Struthio camelus: one gene and its partner. The protein of the gene in region 2 purifies or fractionates together with the protein of the main gene of each other region. This does not show direct contact. Links are inferred from orthologs where the notes say so. Each region holds a gene or a part of one and is shown on either strand. Other genes may lie near its edges.

The links.
Region 1: the proteins of COP1 (region 2) and SOX2 purify together in Homo sapiens (affinity purification with western blotting; 3 studies listed by BioGRID). This does not show direct contact. The link is inferred for Struthio camelus from reciprocal best matches to the Homo sapiens genes COP1 and SOX2.

What each region holds. Positions count from the first base shown.
Region 1 is NC_090950.1:23,947,368-23,957,198, forward strand, and holds SOX2 (transcription factor SOX-2), read right to left. Parts: upstream 4,720-9,831; 5' UTR 4,274-4,719; coding exon 3,326-4,273; 3' UTR 2,312-3,325; downstream 1-2,311. UniProt on the Homo sapiens protein: Transcription factor that forms a trimeric complex with OCT4 on DNA and controls the expression of a number of genes involved in embryonic development such as YES1, FGF4, UTF1 and ZFP206. Binds to the proximal enhancer region of NANOG.
Region 2 is NC_090949.1:5,434,418-5,443,918, forward strand, and holds the start of COP1 (E3 ubiquitin-protein ligase COP1), read right to left. Parts: upstream 4,247-9,501; coding exon 3,882-4,246; intron 1-3,881. UniProt on the Homo sapiens protein: E3 ubiquitin-protein ligase that mediates ubiquitination and subsequent proteasomal degradation of target proteins.

The DNA of each region.
Region 1 (9,831 bases), on a different chromosome or scaffold from region 2:
AACAATTCACAAGTGCGGGAATACACGGAGAACCCAAAAGGTCTTCAATAACCAAAAGAAAAACACAGGCACCAGCTCGGCTACACGTTTCAGCTGCAATAAACGACAGCCCAGGATAATAGCTTATGGTGTGAATGGGATTATTCAATGCGTTCAATTTAAAATTAGCAATGGACAATGGCGTTCTTCCAAGCAACACTTTAAAAAATAAAATCATTCGGCTGTACCTGTAAAATGCTCCGGGTTATCCTCTCTAAATAGATAAATATATAAATAGATACATGGATGGATGGATGGGTGGATGTAAGGAATCTGTCCAAGGGAGATCAAGTTTCAACAACATGTATTTTACATCATACTCCGCAATCTAAGCTTAAACAAATTGCCAATATAAAAAGTTACTGAAATCACTAAGCCTGAATGTGTGGCTTAGTGCCTTTTGTTTAATCGTACTATCTCGCCTTCTATATGAGAATTGTTAAAGGACCAGCTACCCCCCTCGAATATTTTAGTTAGCACTTCAAAAAGGGCCCAGGTTTTATTGCTGTTAATTGGCTAAGATTCGCTTTAAAAAATGGAATCGCAATATCGATTGGGCTTTTATTCCAAGTTCTCTTTTTTTCCAGCTAGGCAAGTGGGAGCGGGGATATGTGCTCCTTACCACGTGAATAATCCCTAGACGCGTTACAAACGCTGCACGGCTCTGAAAAAAATACTTTACTCTTTGCATTAATGAAAAAGAGAAGAAGAAAATGTTGGGAATCTGCAATAACTGTGATGCTGCCCAAGTCCCTCGACGGCACAGAAATAAAAGGGACAAAGGGAGCTAAACTACATAAACCGACAGAGAGCAAAACTCCACATACTCGTAGTCTGGCAATTTTAGTTTTCATCTGGACACCAGGCACCAAGCCTGGAGGCCAGAAGCGAACCTAGGAAATAGCACTACCAAAAAAAAGCCACGACCAACCAGGTAACTTTGTATGTGTGTGTGTGTGTGTGTGTGTGATTTTTTCACTTTCTCACTTCCTTCCTTCCTGAGTTAAAGTGCAATTCAGTTACCGAAACAAAAATACTAGAAAGGAAAACGGAGCAACACTTGCTCCCGGTGCGGAAACCCGCTCTGTGCCTCGCTCGAGCAAACCCTCAGCTCCTCTCCGCGCTACGCACCGCGCACCACAGACCGGCCCAGCCAGGGCACGGCTTCCACCGCGCTGCCCCCAATTTCACTGTCTTATTACTATCACCACTTGCCTCTCGCTTACCCACGTTACCCCAAAGAAACCCCAGCCCTGTCAGCAGCCGGGCTGCAGGGGGGAAACGGGCCTCCGCTCCGCACCGCTCCGCCGCCCCCCGCGCCGCGCTCCGCTGGGCCCTCCCGGCGGCGGCTCCGCGCAGGGCCGCGCAGCTTCCGCCCCGGCTCTGGCCCTTACAAGGGTACAAAGTGAAACTCTACCTGACCGAGCTGGCGGAGCTCTCCTCCCATTTGGCGGGCGCCACCGCTTCTCTTTGGGGCTGTGACCGGCTGCAGAGACTGTCCAAATTGGGGCTACACCGCGCTGGCAAGTTAAGAAATAGGATTCAAGAGAGAGCTATGATAAAGCGTGAAGGTCTCCGACATTCGACTTTTCTTTTTCTTCTAATTTCGTTTTGTTTGTTCGCTTTTTGCTGTTGCTCACCTCCACCCGGCCGAGCTCCCCCCCACCCCCGCCCCACCGCTCACCTCCTCCTGCGCTGCCCCAAAGCGGCAGCAGAAAGTTTGGGAGCCCCGAACAAAGGGGCGAGCTCCCACCCCGCCAGCGCCGCGGAACGGCCCCCAGCCACTGCCTCCTGCCTGCCCCACGGCAGAAAGCACCGGGGGGGAAACGAGAGAAATTATCAATGCTCGAGACCCGTAAACGGGGCGCCTGGGCCCTCTCACCGCGCCGCCGCCGCCTCCTGCCGCGGCTCGGCTCCGCGCAGCCCTCCGGCTCGGCCGCGGCCCCGCCGAGGCAACAAGTGGTCCCAAACGGCGAGTCCGAAACGTCCTTTCACCCCATCGCGCTCCGCGCCCTCCTTGCGAAGGGGAAGGGAATCTGGAACAGACCGTGTTACTCCACATTCCCGTCCCTGCAAAGCAGTCACCTTCAGTTACCTACTTAAAGCTACTGTACTTTATATATAGCTATAAAAAATATATGCATGTGTAATATATATATTGCTGTATTATTTACAATACTCAGCTGCTCACAACGATACCACTTTCTACTGCATGAATTATTAAAAAAAAAAATCTTGCATTACAAAAATAAATCCAAGACTCAAGCGTAACTTCAGTGTCCATATGTCAAAAATTTATTTATCTCAAACTGTGCATAATGGAGTAAAAACTTAACTTGAATATGTACCTGTTATAAGGATGGTATTAGTTCAAATATATACATGGACTGTCGGCAGACTGATTTCAAATAATACAGAGCCGAATCTTTAAAATACAACTACGGAAAATGAGAAAAAAAAGAACTTAAAATATCATCACAATAAATTTACAGAAATATTACAAACCATAAGAAAATATTTCAAACACAGTAATTTCAGGTTGGTTTTTTTTTCTTTTTCTTTTCTCTGAACAGGATGAAGTCTGGAAACAAAAAGTTATTATAAATTAACAAACGGCGTGTGAACCTGCATGGCAATTTTTGCTTTTTAACAAGAAGTAAAAAAAAAAAAATTTAGTACAAGCTAAACGTTTGCCCTTTTATAGCAAACCAAGCCCATGGTTCGCAAGTACTCGTCCTACCTTTTTGCCTTTTGTACAATTTCTAAAACAATTTAAATGTCCAAATGCTGTAAAATAATTTCCTCTCCTCTCGCAGCTGCTATAAATTCAGCTGCCAAAGTCACAATGCTCCAAGTAGACTCTATTTTTAAAAAATAATTGGCAAATTCTCGAGTTGTTTTTTTTCCCTCTCTATATTACCAATGGACATTCTGATTGCCATGTTTACTTTGATAAATACTGTACAAAAGTTGCCTGCAAATATTAAAACATTTTCCTCTTCGCTCTTTGAGTCTAGCTCTAAATATTATTGGTAAAGACTTTTGCAAACTTTCTGCAAAGTTCCTACCGTTTTCACTAGAACTTTTTAAAAGTTTTGTGTAGTTGCTTCCCCTCCAAGATCTATACAAGTTCCTCGTCGGTTTTATTTCTCCCCCCCCTCCCCGCCCCCAGTTTTCTCTGTACAAAAATAGTCCAAAAAAAAAAAAAGTCCAGAATTTCTAATAAAAGTTTTTTGTTTGTTTGTTTTGTTTAGTTTTCCTTTCCCCCACCCCCGGCCCCTTTGTCTTACATATGCGATAGAGGGAGTGTGCCATTAATGGCTGTGCCAGGAACAGGTGCACTCTGGTAGTGTTGGGACATATGAAGTCTGCTTGGGGCAGCTGGTTCTGGTACTTCAGCACCTGGTAGATACATGCTGATCATGTCCCGGAGGTCCCCCGCTTGGCAAGGAGCCCTTGAATGAGACGAGGAAGTGACTACGGGGGGACTGGAGCTGGATTCCGTCTTGACCACCGAGCCCATGGAGCCCAGGGCCATGCCCGGGGTGCCTTGCTGCGAGTAGGACATGCTGTAGGTGGGCGAGCCGTTCATGTAGGTCTGCGAGCTGGTCATGGAGTTGTACTGCAGGGCGCTCACGTCGTAGCGGTGCATGGGCTGCATCTGCGCCGCGTTGTGCGCGTTCAAGCCCGGGTGCTGCGGGTAGCCGAGCTGCTCTTGCATCATCCCATAGCCTCCGTTGGTCCAGCCGTTCATGTGCGCGTAACTGTCCATCCGCTGGTTCACCCCAGCTCCCAAGGTGGCCCCAACCCCTACCCCAGTCGTCATGGTATTGGTGCCCGGCGCCAGTAAGCCCCCTGGCAACGTGTACTTATCCTTCTTCATGAGGGTCTTGGTTTTCCTCCGGGGTCGGTATTTATAATCCGGGTGCTCCTTCATGTGCAGAGCTCTGAGCCGCTTGGCTTCGTCAATGAAGGGTCTCTTTTCCGCCTCGGATAAAAGTTTCCACTCGGCCCCGAGCCGTTTGCTGATCTCGGAGTTGTGCATCTTCGGGTTCTCCTGGGCCATTTTCCGCCGCTGCCCGCGGGACCACACCATGAACGCGTTCATGGGCCGCTTGACCCGGTCCGGGCTGTTCTTCTGGTTGTTGGCGGCCGAGTTGGAGTTGCCTGTGCCTCCCCCCGAAGTTTGCTGGGGGGCGGGAGGTTTCAGCTCGGTTTCCATCATGTTGTACATTCAAACTACTTTTGCCTGGAACCAGCCTTGAGCAGAGAAGCGAGGAGCAGCGGCAGCAAAGTCCCAAGCCGGACTTTTTTTTTTTCCTAGGGAGGGGTAGGAAAGGGGGGAGGGGGACTCCCCAAAACCACACTTGGATCAAGATCAGAATCTTCCTCTTCGCTGATGGATTAATAATGCTAATAACTGCTATTATTACTGCCGGAGCCTCGATTTTAAAAAACTTCTTCCTCCTTTTTCCCTTTTCTCTGTCTGCCTCTTTCTCTCTCTCTCTCTCTCTCTCTCTCTCTCTCCACCTCAGTCTTAAAGAGCCAGCAAACTACTTTACCCCCTTTTGCAAACACACACACTCTCTCTCTCTGCCTTGACAACTCCTGATACTTTTTTGAACAAGTTAATAGACAACCATCCATGTGATGGGGGCTTGTCAGGGAATAAATGTGTTCGCCCTGGCCAATCAGCGCGCGGCGGCTCCTCCACTGAGGACAAGTCTCTACCCCTGGTTTTGCATGAAACGGGGCGGGGGCTCGGCGCCGCCGGGACGGCGCGGCGGGGGGGGGCGGGCCCAGAGGCGGCCCAGGCAGCCACTGGGAAGCCTTTGTATCTCCCCTTCCAGCAACAGGTCACACACGCCTTTTGGAGGAAGTGGGTAAACAGCATTGTTGCTACATTTTTTTTTTATAAGTTGGTGTTGGCTTGGGGCTGGGGGAAGCCATGGAGGGAGCAGAGCGGCGATGGCTTCCCCCCGCCCCCGTCCCCCCTGGGCCGGCGCCCCTCGGCGCGGCGGGGCCGCCCGGCTGCGCTGGGCCCGCGGGCGGCGGCGACCTGCGTGTGCAGCGCTCGCCGCGGCCGGCTCCGCCCGCGCTGACCCCTCATCCCCCCTCACCCCCAAAAGCGCAGCCCCCCGGCCGGGCAGCCCGGGCACAACCTGCGCCCTTCCCGCTTCCCTTGCCCCGAGCCCGGCTCCGTTCAAACCTTGGCACACAGCGCCGAGCCCTTCCCTCCCTCCTCCGGCTTCGGGAAACGCCGGGGGGGGGGGAGGGAAGGTGCCCGGTGCAGCCGCGGCAGGGGAGGGGGTGCCCCAAACGCCGTGCCCACGGAAGCCAAGGGAGGGGGGGGCACCCCTCGGCGGGGCTGGCGGCGGCGGGGAGCCCCGGGCCGGGCCGGGCCGCGGCGCAGCGTTACCCCGCGCCCGTGGTGGCGAGCGCAGCTCCGCCGGGGCGCAGCGGCCGGCCGGGCGGGGGGGGGGGCAGAGCCGCGGCGAGGCCGTTACAAATAGGTAGTTTTGTTTCCCTTGTTGTCACTACACGGGGCCAAACAAAGCGGCGGCTAAGTTTACTTCCACTCTCTTGTTGGGATCTTTGTTGCTAAAACGCACTTGACGACAAAGAAAGGAGGGGAAAGGAGGAAGAAGAGCGGGAGAGGGGGGAGCCTCACGCCGGCCCCGCCGCCCGCGGCCCCGCGCCCGCCCCAGCGCGGCGGCGAGCAGCCGCGGGCCCCGCTCCGCGCCTGCCCCACCGACGGGCCTTCCCCTCCCCTCCCCGCCACCCCACCCCCGCTCCGGCTTTTTTGCCCCAAATCCGAGCACCCCTCACATCTTTAGGCCGCGGGGGATCCGCGGGCAGGGTGATTTTCCGCGGAGGCGGCAGAGCCCGCGGAACCCGGCGGGGGAAGGGGCAGCGCCGTGGGGCAGCGCCGCGGCCCCGGCCCCGTCCGCGGCCCCGTCCGCGGCCCCGCGCGGCGCTCAGGCGCGGCGCGGCGGCGCCCCCTGCTGGCTGCGCCCGCGCCCCGCCGGGAGGTGCCGCGGGAAAGCGGCGTGAGAGCGGGAAGGGAAAGGGGGGGGGAAGGAGCCGGTAATGACATGCCATCTAAATAATAGCACTATATACGTACATACATATAAGAATACGCCAGCAGCACGGATGCATCTTTTTGTGGGTTATGCAAATAAATCCGATCGGATTTAATGTGTCTAATTCGAAAATGTATATAGAACCCCTAGATAAGTGACAGGGTAACCATGGAAAAATAGGTAGAAATTATGAGATCCAGGAAATAAACGGGTTCTGATTGTCCAGACCCTCCTGAGGGCACAACGGCTATTTACTTTCTTATTGTTTACGCTTGGGTCTGCAGTTGATAACGTTATTCCAAAAAAATCTCAGGGATAATTAAGTTTGAAAAAAGGGGGTGGGGTGGGTGGCAGTGGTGTTTGTTTTTCGTACTGAATTGATAACTGAGGGCTGGTGGTGCACAAGCAAGTCTTCTTTTCGCTCGCGCGGTAGCTGCGGCGGGCCGGGCCGGGCCGGGCCGGGCCGGGCTGCGTGTGCTGGAGCGGCTCCGGGGCCTGGCCCGGCCCGGCCCAGCCCTTCCTTAACTGTATTTATCACACAAATAAGGGGTGGAAATACCCAACAATTGTGTTATCGGGAGTATTTACAGCTTTATTTTAATTAACTCTTTTACTTATCGACGCAATAAACTCTGTCTGTCATATATACATAATAACGCGCTATAGAAAATAAGATAAGGGCGAGACCTCTTTTAGAACATTTTCTCCCTTTCCTCTGCTTATATAGGTGTTTGGCTGCATATGTGTACACAGACACACAGAAGTATAGACAGATTGGGATGCTGACTATAAAATAAAAGGAGGAAACGGTACCTCATTTTTCTGTATTAATAACAATACCACCACCACTCTCTGGAAGAATATAGACACGTTGAAAGGGAGGCCTGCAGAGGGATGGTTTAATCTGGGTGGATTTAAAAAATCTTTGCCTTTGGTATAATTTATGGAAATGAAAAGTGCTTAAACAAATAGTCTGCAAATGTTCTCAATGGTGGGCTCTACGGCACATTCACTTTTATTTCCAGGTTATGAGTTTCTGAAAAAGAAGATGAATGCTAGCTACTTGAATTTTATGTTTTTATTGTTCTGATACTCGCTGCTTTCTTTAAAAACCCTGAGGATACAACCTATCGTGTTAACTGTATCAGAAAGAATATACCCATTTTCATATTCTTTTTCCTGAACCTACCAGTAACCCATCTAAAGCAAACTATTAAGCAGTCTTGTGGAGATGGAAGATTGCAGCTCCATTTTTTGTCCTTAGCTGCAAATAGAGGTTTAACTTGCAGTAATTAGGTGAGAACTAGCCAAGCATCTTACTATTATGATGCTTGTTAAAAACGCTTCTTTTCTGCATCTGCATTTGAGTGTGTTCCCCTCCACTCTTAATCTTCTTATGGAAATGAAGGCGAACGGCAGGGAACCTGCAGAGACTTAGAGAATGTCCTTGTTAACTGGAATTTCTCAGCATTGCTAATTAGCAGAGTTTGACGACCACCAGTATTGGGGAAAGCTCTGTTTAGCCACTCACAAACCCTTCCGAGGAAGAGCAGACTAATTTTATTTTGTAATTAAAATCTGAAAAGGGCCCTATTTGACAGTTAGGGCTATGAGAGTTTTATCTCCCTGTGAAATAATTACTGCCTTGATAACTCAATTTTCTGCAAAATGTCAGCTGTGAGCTCCAAAAGTTTTAATTTCATTACATTAAAAAAAAAATCTGAAGACGAAAATGTACAGAGAAATTTCCTCTTCCCCCTCTAATTCTGTACCAGCTCATCACACAGGAGCTAAAGTTAGCCAAGGAAGTTTCACCACGCTAGCCATACCCCTGTCTCTGGGGAATTTCAAATATCACCTGGTGAATCTGCGGTAGCATCCAGAGGGAAAGGTGGGCAGAAATGCCCTTGAACGCTCTAAGAAACACCCACGGCGAGTGGGTATAAACCCACCGAAGGGGCCGGGGCCGGGTGGCTCGCAGGAAGGGCCCTGCGGCCCCGGCCGCCACCAGGCGCGGAAAGCGCGGGATTCCCGCAGCCGAGCAAACACCGCCCGTCCGCGGGAGCGTCCGTCGGGGCCCGGCAGCGACCGCGGGGCGCTGAAACGGGCTCAGGCAAACTTCAACAGTTGGCAGAGGCCGCATCTAGCGCGGCGGCGGTGCTGCGCACACTGCTCCGCACCCGCTCCGCAGTGGGGCTGTCTCAGCTCCCCGATTCCCCCCCCCCGGCGCCGAGGGCCTCCTCTCCGAGAGGCCCGAGGGCGAGGGTGACTCTTAGGGGAATTGGGGGGAACCGAGGCGCTGGAGCAAGTGTAATCCACTCTGCTTACATTTTGGATATTTTTTATTATTATTTAAAACGGTTTAATCTGCTTTTTGTCCCTGCCTGTCCAGCAAGTAGCCCGATTGTCATTCTCAGAAGTGGCATTATATGTACAAACGACCGAGGGGGGCGAGTAACAAATGCTCCAGCCAGACCCAATTTCACCCAATAATTTCATTCAAGGGCTCTAAGGACCCTTGAAAGCTGGGGAATGCCGAGGCAGCTCGGCATTCCTCCCCGGGCTCCTCTTTCATCCTAATTCTCCCTAATGAAACCTAAGGGCGAGCGCACGTGCGGCCGGGCGGCGAGCGCACGGCCGGGGCCGTCGCCCCGCGGCTCCCCCGCGCCGCGGCCGGGCCGCCCCGGGCCCCCGGGGGAAGCGGCAGCTCCGCGCCCTCCGAGCGGCCCGCTTGCCACCTCCCCTCCCGGCTACCGGCCCGCGAACCAGCGCTCAGCTGTTGATTTTTATGGCGTTAAAAAAAAAAAAAACGCGGGGAGGTTAAAAAAAAAAATCCGTGTCCACCTTTCTGCAGTGCTACCAGAGGCAAAATTAAAAAAATAAAAATAAAAAATAGAGAAACCTCCTCAGACGTGTTTAACGTACACAATAAACAGCAGCAAAGCCGGCTCACACACACCACCTCTCAAAGTCGCTTTCAAAGGGCTTCTCAATAAATGGAGAAGCCGATTGTCCAAACACTCTTCCAGGACTCGTCATAAATAGCCAACAGCCTTCTCAAACTCCCTGCGATTTTTTTTCTATGCATCTAAAATAACACTCCCTGGACTTTCTTCCCAGAGGAGAGTATAACTAAAGTCCTCCCCCTCATCCCCCCCTTTTTTTTTTGCTACATGACCCCCAAAATAAAACAGAAAATCAAGCACCAGTGCTGAGGATAAACTCAGAAATTACTGCACAATATAACAGGGTGAAATTACAGTTGAATTGCAGGCCCTTTTCCAGGAACGCAGCCCCCTTGAACAGGATCTTTTTTGGCAGTCTAAAGTTATCTTTCCTTCCTAGTTTTATAAGAACAAATGAGTTTTCTTTTGCCATTGTAGTTGAATGAACTCATGTATATTAAACACAAAACCCCTCCTGAAGAACGCTAACTGCTTTGCTTAAACCCACAAAGGCAAAAAACCTCAGAAATGAAGGTTTCCAATTCCTGAATAAGTCTCCTTAACTCTCTCAGGCTTGGAGAAGATAGAGTTTGAGACATTTTCAGGAAGTCTTAATGCCTGGAAGGAGATATCTTAAAGATAAACCCATTGTCTTTTGCTGAAGTTTAGGTTGCTATTTTATTTCCCTCTCCCCCTTCACCCTCTTTGTATTGTTTTAAGAAAAACACGGTGTAAGAAAGTATCTGTCCCTGAGATCACAA
Region 2 (9,501 bases):
GTCTAAGATTATCTAAATTGCAAAGGCTCCTCTAATGAGCTATTTTCTGTTTCTCCATGGTTGAGCGTATCAGGGTAGGTCAAGTGTTTCTTAATCATTCTAACCAAGTTCACGCCTCTTAGTCTTATCAGCCGTTTTCAAGGTGTCATTCTCAAGATTTTTACCTTACTGTCACCCCCTTGCTACCTGAACATGGCTTAAATGTTCAGGATAAACTTTAAACATGTTTCACATTCCCTTCTGTTTCACTGCAAGCAAGACCCATCAGCTTCTCCCTTCTGTTCTGTTCTTCTTTGGCCTAAGAAGAGAGCAGGAAGAGAGCAGGATACAGGCTCTGTACTTTACTCAGAACATGCCCAGGTTAAAGGACACTGCCATCCCTATCTACTCAATAAGAAGCTCCAATATAATAATAGAAATTATAAAATTCCATCATTGTACATGTTATGTAAACAGCCTGCTGCGTTTTTACTTTGTGACCTCCCGGGTCAAACTGCAGTATTAGAGGAACTCACAAGAACACAAGCATGTGAAAAATTCTACTCAGTCCATGCTCGGCATTAGTATCAACAGGTAGACCTATTTTTGATATGGTGCTGTAATGCAGACTTTTAGTCACTTCTAGGCATGGAAAACAGTGCTTTCAACATTCAAGGTCTGTATACAGACCTTGAGAGGTACACCAAGCAATGTCTACTTTGCCGTGTTCTTATTTACGCCAGAACTGAGAAACAAGCACTGGTATAAAACAGTCACTGAAAGGAGCCTATAGCTCCCAGAAGACACTCTCTGTCCAGGAAGCTAGGCAGATCCTAACTGGTTTTAGAGAGGTTTAACCCTCCCAATTAGCAGTTGACTAATGTAAGGTCTGGAAAAAACGTAGCCAATTACATGCTGGATAGGAGAAAACGCTCCGATCAGAGCATTCCACTCCAGATACTCTCCAGGCAACTGGAAAGAGACCTCACTATAGGAGCGGGACAAAAATCTGTTTCAATTCTACATCCTAGACCTATGAAAACAAAGTTTCCCCTGTTACAATAAAGGGTCTAGCAAGTCAGATATATGTGCTTCTCTGGTCTAGAGTTATGCACTTCCAGGCAGAAGCTGGAATATACTACAAAAGGTACACCTTTGAGAACTCCAGAGAGCACAGTATTTGCTAAACAATTCACAGTCCAGACTAGCAGCGTATGCCAACATTAGTGTCAAAGCCTAGACCTCACACTGCTGAGAGAGCAGTTTCAAGAAACAGGCAGACAGGTTGTGCACATTAACACTACTTGCAGTATTTCCACATGCGCTTTCGTGTACACAACTCACACGAACTTCTTTATTCTTTCCCAATTTCAGTCTGATGCAGGCAGAACCTATCACAGTGTTTACAGTTGCAACACTAAAGAGTAATTCATAGCCTGTGTTCAGAAAGATTATCGAGTGCTCCCTGCAGCAGGCAGCGTCCAGAAAGTATCCTTATAGAGAGGATGGCAGACGGGAAAATTTTGCCTCTCAGACTGAAATATCCAAAGCTTATTTAAATCAAGTATTTAAACAAACACACACCTGTCTTCTTGGACCTTGCTCAAAATTCCAAAGCTACCCAGCTGAGTTTTATTTCTATACTGCATAAATATAATGCTACCTCAAAAATAACTTTTGTTAAAAGTAATGCTGTAATTTGAAGCTAACATTAACATAAGGAAGAAGAAGCTACACTGCCCAATGAAGTGCATGCCAATGAAGGACCAGACAAGGGAGCTATAATCACTATTTGCCCTTGAAGCTGCTGATCTGCACGCAAATATGCCCAGCACGGTTCTCTTGTGAACACCAGTAAGGAGGAGACAGGAAAAAAGAAGAGAGGGGAAAGAAAAAAAAAAGTTTTGCCCAGATCACTATTCTGTTAACTTTTTCTTCTCACGCTTTGTTCAGCCAGCAACACTCTTCACCGAGAGGAATAGAGCTAATTATATGCGTTATTTTTGAAGTTTGCACAGAACCTACCTGTGGGGAAAAAAAGAACTAAGAAACTGAGCTTTTTGAACTGACTTAAAACATTTCAACTGTCATCAAAAAAAAAAAAAAAGAAAAGAACTTATTGCGCTAGACTTAATTTCCCCCTGGTTCAAACTCCCTTATTTCTATGAGCAAGAAAACATTAAGTGAAAACCGACTAGAAGAGGAAAGGAAATGATTGCACACCACTACTGCCAGAGCATAACTGTAGTGGAGGCAAACAGATAGGGACACTTATCTCCCACGACCAGAAAACATGCAAGAAACAACAATACAACCATCTCCCAAACTAGGTGTCCTAAATCCACTTATCATGGCCTAGCATTTAGGCAGAGCAGGAAGCCAGCCGACTAAGGCTACACTCTAATCCTAATTCTGCTACTGGGCAAACCACTACTTACAGTGGTAAGGAGGAATTCTTGATTATTGCTTGTTGCTCTTCTTTCGGTGACTAGCTTTTCAGCAGCTTCAGGTTCTCCTTCTAGTAACAGGGATTATATTTCCCATCTAGTCTCCTATAGGGTTTACAAGGTTTGCAAGATCAAGTTTGCCAGGTTTTGCTAGAGTGCCTCTCCTGTGGAGATGCCGAATACCTAATCTGCATCCAAAAGTTAGAATGAGCAAACAAGACGGTCTTGGAAGCTGTTACCTACTTTTATCCACTTTTCTTTTTAATCATTTCTTTCACATATGTGACTTTTCAATAAAACAAGTTTGTTTCTAATATCTCTTCATCAGTGTTTATCTCTCTCAGATGCTACCACCTACCCTCATTTTCTGTTCTTGCGTTTTTAATATACATCTAGTCATATATAAAATTAAACTTACTCCTTATGTCAGGAGGTTTGAAGCCCATAAGCAATAGCATCTTTTTAAAGCTGCATATTACCAACAGCTCTCAAACCAAATATAGCGAGGCCTACCACTTTTGCAGAAAAGTTATTACCAATTACAACATACAGTTTTGGCCAAACATTAGAAAAACAGCATCTGAATGGCTTCAAGGAAAATCTTTATCCCATCATCGCAGAAAGTTTCTACTCATCTGGTTTTAGATGACAGATCGATACCTGATACAAATACTATTATTACTTCAAGTTAGCTGTCCTTTCCCAGCAACAGAGGAAAAACTCATGCCAATTTTGTGAGCACTATTAACTGCCTCCAATATCAGTGACCAGGGGACTTATTTTCAGATCCTCATCTGCATAAGCACAGAAGTCCTCTGAGGACTCTTTCTTTTCATAAGGTCATAAAGGGGCAGTAAGAAGACCTAGCCTCCCTCCAGAGAGGCCATCGCACGTGCAAGAGGCTGGAGCTGCTCTAGTCCTTTTCAAGGCTACACTGCCTGGGAGAAAAAAAAAAAAAAAAAGGAAAAAAGAAACATTTGCTTGCGATGTCAACAGGCTATGAAAAACCGCTTAGCGTCGCAGGCCCTTTCCAACGAGCGCAAGTTCCGCTGCGCTGAGGCTTAACCCGCCGAACGAGACAGGAACCTTCTGGGACTAACCTGAATTTTTGTTTGTTTTTGTTTTTTAAAAAAACAAAAAAAAAAACAAAGACACACACGCATCACAACACTGATACAAAGAGCCAAAAAAGCAACCAAACACAGTCACAAGGCGGGGGAGGAGGGGGGAGAGCCAGAAATCCCTGCAGGACAGTTACAGACCCCAACACACCTTCCACCCCGGCGAGCCGGGCAGGGCCCCCCCGCGGGGCCCCCCCAGACCCGGCCAGCGCTCTCGGCGGCGGCCCCGGGGCGGCCCGGCCGCGCGCAGCAGGCCGCGACGCCCGCGGGAAAGGGGGCGCCGTGTCGCCGCTATGTCGCGATACACCGCCCCGCTCCCCTCCCCCGCGCTCACCACACGAAGTCGTTGCTCTTGTCCTCGTAGGAGTTGAGGAGCCCGTTGCAGAGCGGGGCGAGGAGCGGCCTCTTCCTGCTGCCGCCGCCCGCGCCGCCACCACCGCCGCCGCCGCCCGCCGAGGAGGCGCCGCCGCCGCCGGGCCGCGCCGCCGCCGCCAGCCGCGCCAGCCCCGCGCCCGAGCCCGACACGGCGGCCGCCACCAGCACGGGCCGCGCCGCCGCGCCGCCCGCCGCCGCCGCCGAGGAGGAGGACGAGCCCGGCGCCATGGCCGAGGAGGAGGAGGCGGCGGCCGGGGAGGCGGCGGCGGCGGGCGGCGCGGCGGCGGCGGGGTGCGGCGGCGGCGGCGGGCGGCTGCCCGACATGCCGAGGCCGGGCGGAGCGGGGCCCCCTCAGCGCATCCCCGCGCGGCGCCGCGGGAACAATAAAGTTCGTTCAAAGAAGGGGGGGGGGGGGGGGGGAGGGAACCGCCGCCGCCCCCACGCCCGCGCGTGCTCCCTCTCCGCTAGCCTCTTGTTGAATCTTTATTGACAGGCGAACACTGCCTCGCGCATGCGCGCGGCGCCGCCGCCGGGCGGGGCCTGCTCCGGCGCTGAGGCGGCGGCGGCGGCGGTGCTGAGGGCCTGCTCGGCGCCGCCGGACGGCACCGTCTCCACACGGGAGCTCACGAATTATAAAAGGAAACAAATTCCCTTTACCCGCCCCCCGCTGCCTTCAGGGGTTGAGGGCCGCGTCGGCGCCAGCCCCGGGCCCTCGGCGGGGCCCGGCCTGAGGCAGGGGCCTCGGTGACAGGCCGCTGCCGCCTCTCGGCTTGGCCCGACGGCGGGCGAGGAGGCAGAGCTGCGGGCAGAGACCGGATTTCTCCTTTCATTTCTCTCCCCCAGAAGCATCCCGCCTGCTTTACATCAAGCCTGTTGTCTGCTGTCAGCTTTTCACCTGCCCAGAGATGTGCGAGGTGGCTGCTGAAAGTCTAGGGCGTTTTCCCTGAGGACGGGTAATCCTAAGGCCAGGTCCTGGGAAGCGCCCGGAGAGATCCGCGCTGCGGCAGTCCTGGGAGCGCAGGTGGCCGAGCGCACCTGCAGTCAGGCGTAAAACCAGCAGGAGAGCTGGTAAAACTGGTCTGAGAGAAAAAGGTGGCTGCAGGTAGGCATTGCTGGTCCGGAGAAGTCTCTGGCAAGCAGCGGGAACGCCTGGCTTTCCCAAAAAGGGCGCAGCAAAACACAGCACTTGGATTGAATGTGGAGGGGTTGATGCACACGGACAGTCCTGGAGGGCTTGTCACTGACCTGCCCTTCCAAGCTTGTTTAAATACGTTTAAGGTATTTGCTTCTGTGTACTTACCCCTAATGTTGCAAAACAAACACACAAACAAAAAAAAACCCCACACACCCAGAAACAGTCTAACAAAACCAAAACAGTCTGTCTGCAGAATGTTAGTACAGAATAAATCAGTGCAAGCCAGGAAATTCTAAGGAAGCTTCTCCTTATCGTTCAGATTAGTAGCCTCACCTCTACAAGATAACGTGCCATTATAGTCACTTCTGTAATTGAAACCTGTGCTGCTGCAATTGAAAGTTTCCTGTTTGTAGTTCTTGGTGTGTTTTTTCAAAGCAAAAGATTCTGTTCCGCTACCTTCTATAAATATCCTCCTGACCTTGGCAAGTCACAGGACTAACTCCATAAAGTCATTAAAACACATCAGTTCCCACTGGTTTCAGTGGGAGTTAAAGAGAAGTGCCTAAATACCTTTCTTTGAGCCCAACTGTTGATGTCTGTGTGCCTCATATTTCCTTTTGCTAAGAGAAAGAAAAGCACCGTGTCCTTGTCTTCCAGAGGGAGGAAAAGCTTTGTGGATGAGTGTCTGCAAAGGACTGTCAGATTTTCCAGTGGAAGAACAAAGTAGCAGTAGTAGTAGTATAGGCAATAACACGTCTACATGCTTCATGTTTAGTGAAATATTGGCTGGTCTTTGAAAAGTCTAGCTATTCTTTGGTACTTCATGTTACTTTCTGAGCTCCAGGGAGAAAAAAATGACGCAGAGAAAAGCCTTTAAAGATCAAACATTCAGAAGTGGAAATCCAACATAAATATGAAAGAAATGGAGGGGCCAAATCATGCCCACTTTTGCCCATGTGTAGTTAGGCTCAACAGCCACATCTCCACCCCCACGGCTGGTAGAGAGTGTGAAACCCAGCACACAGCACCAAAAGATCAGTTCCCCAATACTCGAGCTTTTAGGAGTTCACTGTGGACTTTCGGAGGCCCCTGAAGCTAAGACCTTCTCTTCTCTGCCCTGATATATACTGAACAGCCTCTGGCTCCTGCATCCGAAACGTTTCTTTGTTGGGGTTACCTTGCAGTACCAGTTCCCAGACCAATTTATGCATCCTAAGGGAAGATTATATGCTACCTCTCGGCGACACCTGTGCATTGTGCTGGAATAAAGGGCATGGCAAGTCTCCTGGTTTTAAAGTTCACCACAGCAAGCGCTGTGGAGCGCCGGTTATCTTCCAGTCCCCGCTAGCACAACATGAGCACTAAGAATTAATTTACTACCGTCTAAATATTGACAACGCTGTTATTAGGCTCAAAGGCAGAGATACAAAAGGAAAATATTATAGATTAGCTGTAAGAGGTTTTTCGCTGTTTCCTCCAGTTAGCAGCATGCTGGACGCTTACGCTGCCTCATGGTTGAGATCCCATACTTAAGCAAAACTATGGTGCTGGGTTTAGTGCGGTGACGAGAGGCCCGGTGCAGAGATATCCGCACCCTTATATTGCACACTCTTCCTAGATTCCTGTTCAGATTCAAACCTGCCTTCAATGGATTGCTTGTGTTTCCTCACTTAATCTGGATATTACCCTCGTATGTCCTCCTCAAGAACTAGTCATTGGGCCTGTGTGCCTTTGAAGGCATGCGGATCACAGCAAGGCAAGCACCTCTTGCCCAGGCAGTAAACAAGAACTGTTAGTCACTGCCCTGAAACTTAGAGAAAAAACAAAATAGACAGTTACTGTGGGATAAACTGTCTCCAGCCCTAGCCTTTAGTGGCGAGTTTGTTTTATACAATGAAACTGATATTTCTAATAGACGTGCATACTGTCAGCGATACTCTGGGAGTAATGCAAGGAATTCAATAATAGCTCTTGGGTGCCGGCACACAGTAGGCTGATACTGTTTGGGGCTTTGGGGGACTGGCTGCAGGTGTCGGTCTGCAGGAACACCATAATAAAGATTTTCCTCTACCTCTGAAACTCCAGTTGATTGTATTGTACCAAGCCAGCGTAGGTCTAGTGATCGCTTTTGTGAAAGAGACATTTCCCACCTCTGGTCAGATGTAATTACTCACTCTGCAGACCTAGCTGAAGTAAATTCCAATATGACAGAGACGTTCTCCTGCACTTTCCTGTTTTGGAAATCTGTGCAGAGCCTCTACATTTTAGAAGACTTTTCTCTTACATGGTTCTATTTTCCAGCCTCCAAAGCTGATTGCTGACCATGGCCTGAACAGTGGTGTATTAGTTCTTATCCTGTGCGAGGAGGGATGCACCAGCTCTAAAGGAAGGAATAGACAGATAGTGTCTATAGTTGAAGGAACCTTAAGAACAATATAGGTTCTGCCCTTCTGGGTACATAAATCCTACTTGTTATAAACCCTGAGTCTGTGACTTTTACGACAACATCTCCATTTACCTCCATTTACCATTCACCTACAACAACAGGCAGTTGCAGTGCTCATGCCTGCTGCTAGCCCAGCCAGAGAAATAATTGAGAACATGCTGCATGTGGTCACCAGGGGGACGGCGACTTTTTCCACGTCAAAGGGTGTGTGTGCCAGATGTTTGTGGGAAGTGACAGTCCCCTCCAGGCTCGGCTCCTGATTGCCAGTGACTCATTATGGAAATTACTCTTCCATACGCTTCCGTACGCTTCCATTTCTGAGGCCGTTGCTGCCACCTAATTCCCACTGGGTCTGTTAGTCCACTCAGCAGTGCTGCAAACGCTGCTATGACCTGCCACCCCTGGCTTGGGAATTGCTGCTCCAGAGGGCTTTAGAGAGCTTTAACCTCCCAGCTAGCCAGTGACAGGAATGCCATTTCTCCCATTTTCTAGCCAAAGAAAATGAAGCATGGACGGATTCCTCACCTGGTTACAGAGTCGATGAGAACTCTTAATGCTCCATAAATCTGAAAATTAGGCTGTCAGCAACTTCTCCTCGAGCAAAACTGCAGCAGAGCTATCCAGAAGATGCAGTTTCTACCTGTTAGGTACCCTCCTTCCCCTATTTACTGGGAGAAACCTGGACATGAGTTTCCAAACTTGAACTCAAGAAGCCCGACCCAGAGATGTGGGGATCTGGAGGGCATGATCAGACAGGCCCTGGCACCCAGCGTGGAGGGCTTCCCCTCAACTTAGGGTGCTTAGTGATATTTATTATAGTTACAGTTATGCACGGTTACTAGCAAAGGATTTTTTTCAGTTCTTTATAACAACACTTTACCACTTCCAGATGGAACTTTATGCATTAGCCCTTGGCCTAATTCCAAGTAATTGCAGAGACTCTGAACAAAAGCGGTTTGGCCATTTTAAGAAATGGAGAGGCAGGAAAATAAAATATTAACATTTACCATTGTATCAAAAAAGTTCTGATCCTTAAAAAAAATTCTTGGTATCTGGGAGCGGTCTGGTCCCTTCACCACAAGCTACATCCTTCAGGTCTTCTAAAGTGGCCTTTGACTTGACAGAATTACAAAAGGAGGTTAAAATTACTTGGGGAATGTCCTGCCATATTGAAATACCATCTCCAAAGTTGCCGGGTGCTGTGGAGAGCCGAAGATCTCTGTTCGAGAAATACTATTGCAACCTCCATGTTAATGTGTGCAGACTGAAGTGAAGCTACCGAAGGTCTGACTTTGTTTCTGACCTATACGAGCAGAAATACCTGATTCACTGCTCAGAATTGTGAAATCTGTTTTACGGGGAAAAATGATGCTATCTTTTTATTAAACACCACACTGTAATTAGCGCATGTGCCCGGGGGTAGTGTTAAGGTTGCCTTGTGGAGTGCACTTTCTCTCTGAGAGTCTTTCTATTCAACGAGTGGGCTTTCTAAAAAAAACTGAACTAACTCCTCCTTCCCCACCCTAACTCAGCTGCTACTACTGCTATGACTCTCTGCTAATACACCATGCCTAAGTACATCAGTGATCAAATTCATTCCTTGTGTAACTATACTGACTCATTTTAATAAAGATTAATTTGGCCTCTCTCTCCAGGATGATTTCTTTCCCACAAAATATAATTGACACTGATGTAGTTCATGTATCCTTGTAGTATGGAACAGGTCTATTTAGTGTTTTGCAATTGTTTTTTTTTTTTTGAGCGTTAGCGTGTGCTGCTATCTGAGGTCTCCTGTGAACTTTTTCCATTATGTTATGGACAGCAAAAGTCATCTGTCTTTAATGTTGCCACCTGTTATGATTTACTGCATGGCTTGCAAAAGCTGATGTTTTCTTGTAGTCCCAGTTGCTTAGATCTGGTGTTTGCCTAAAACATGTTGCTTCGTGGTGGTTTTAAAGAAGTAAAGTGCCTGGCCCTGGTGGTTATGGAGTCAGTCTG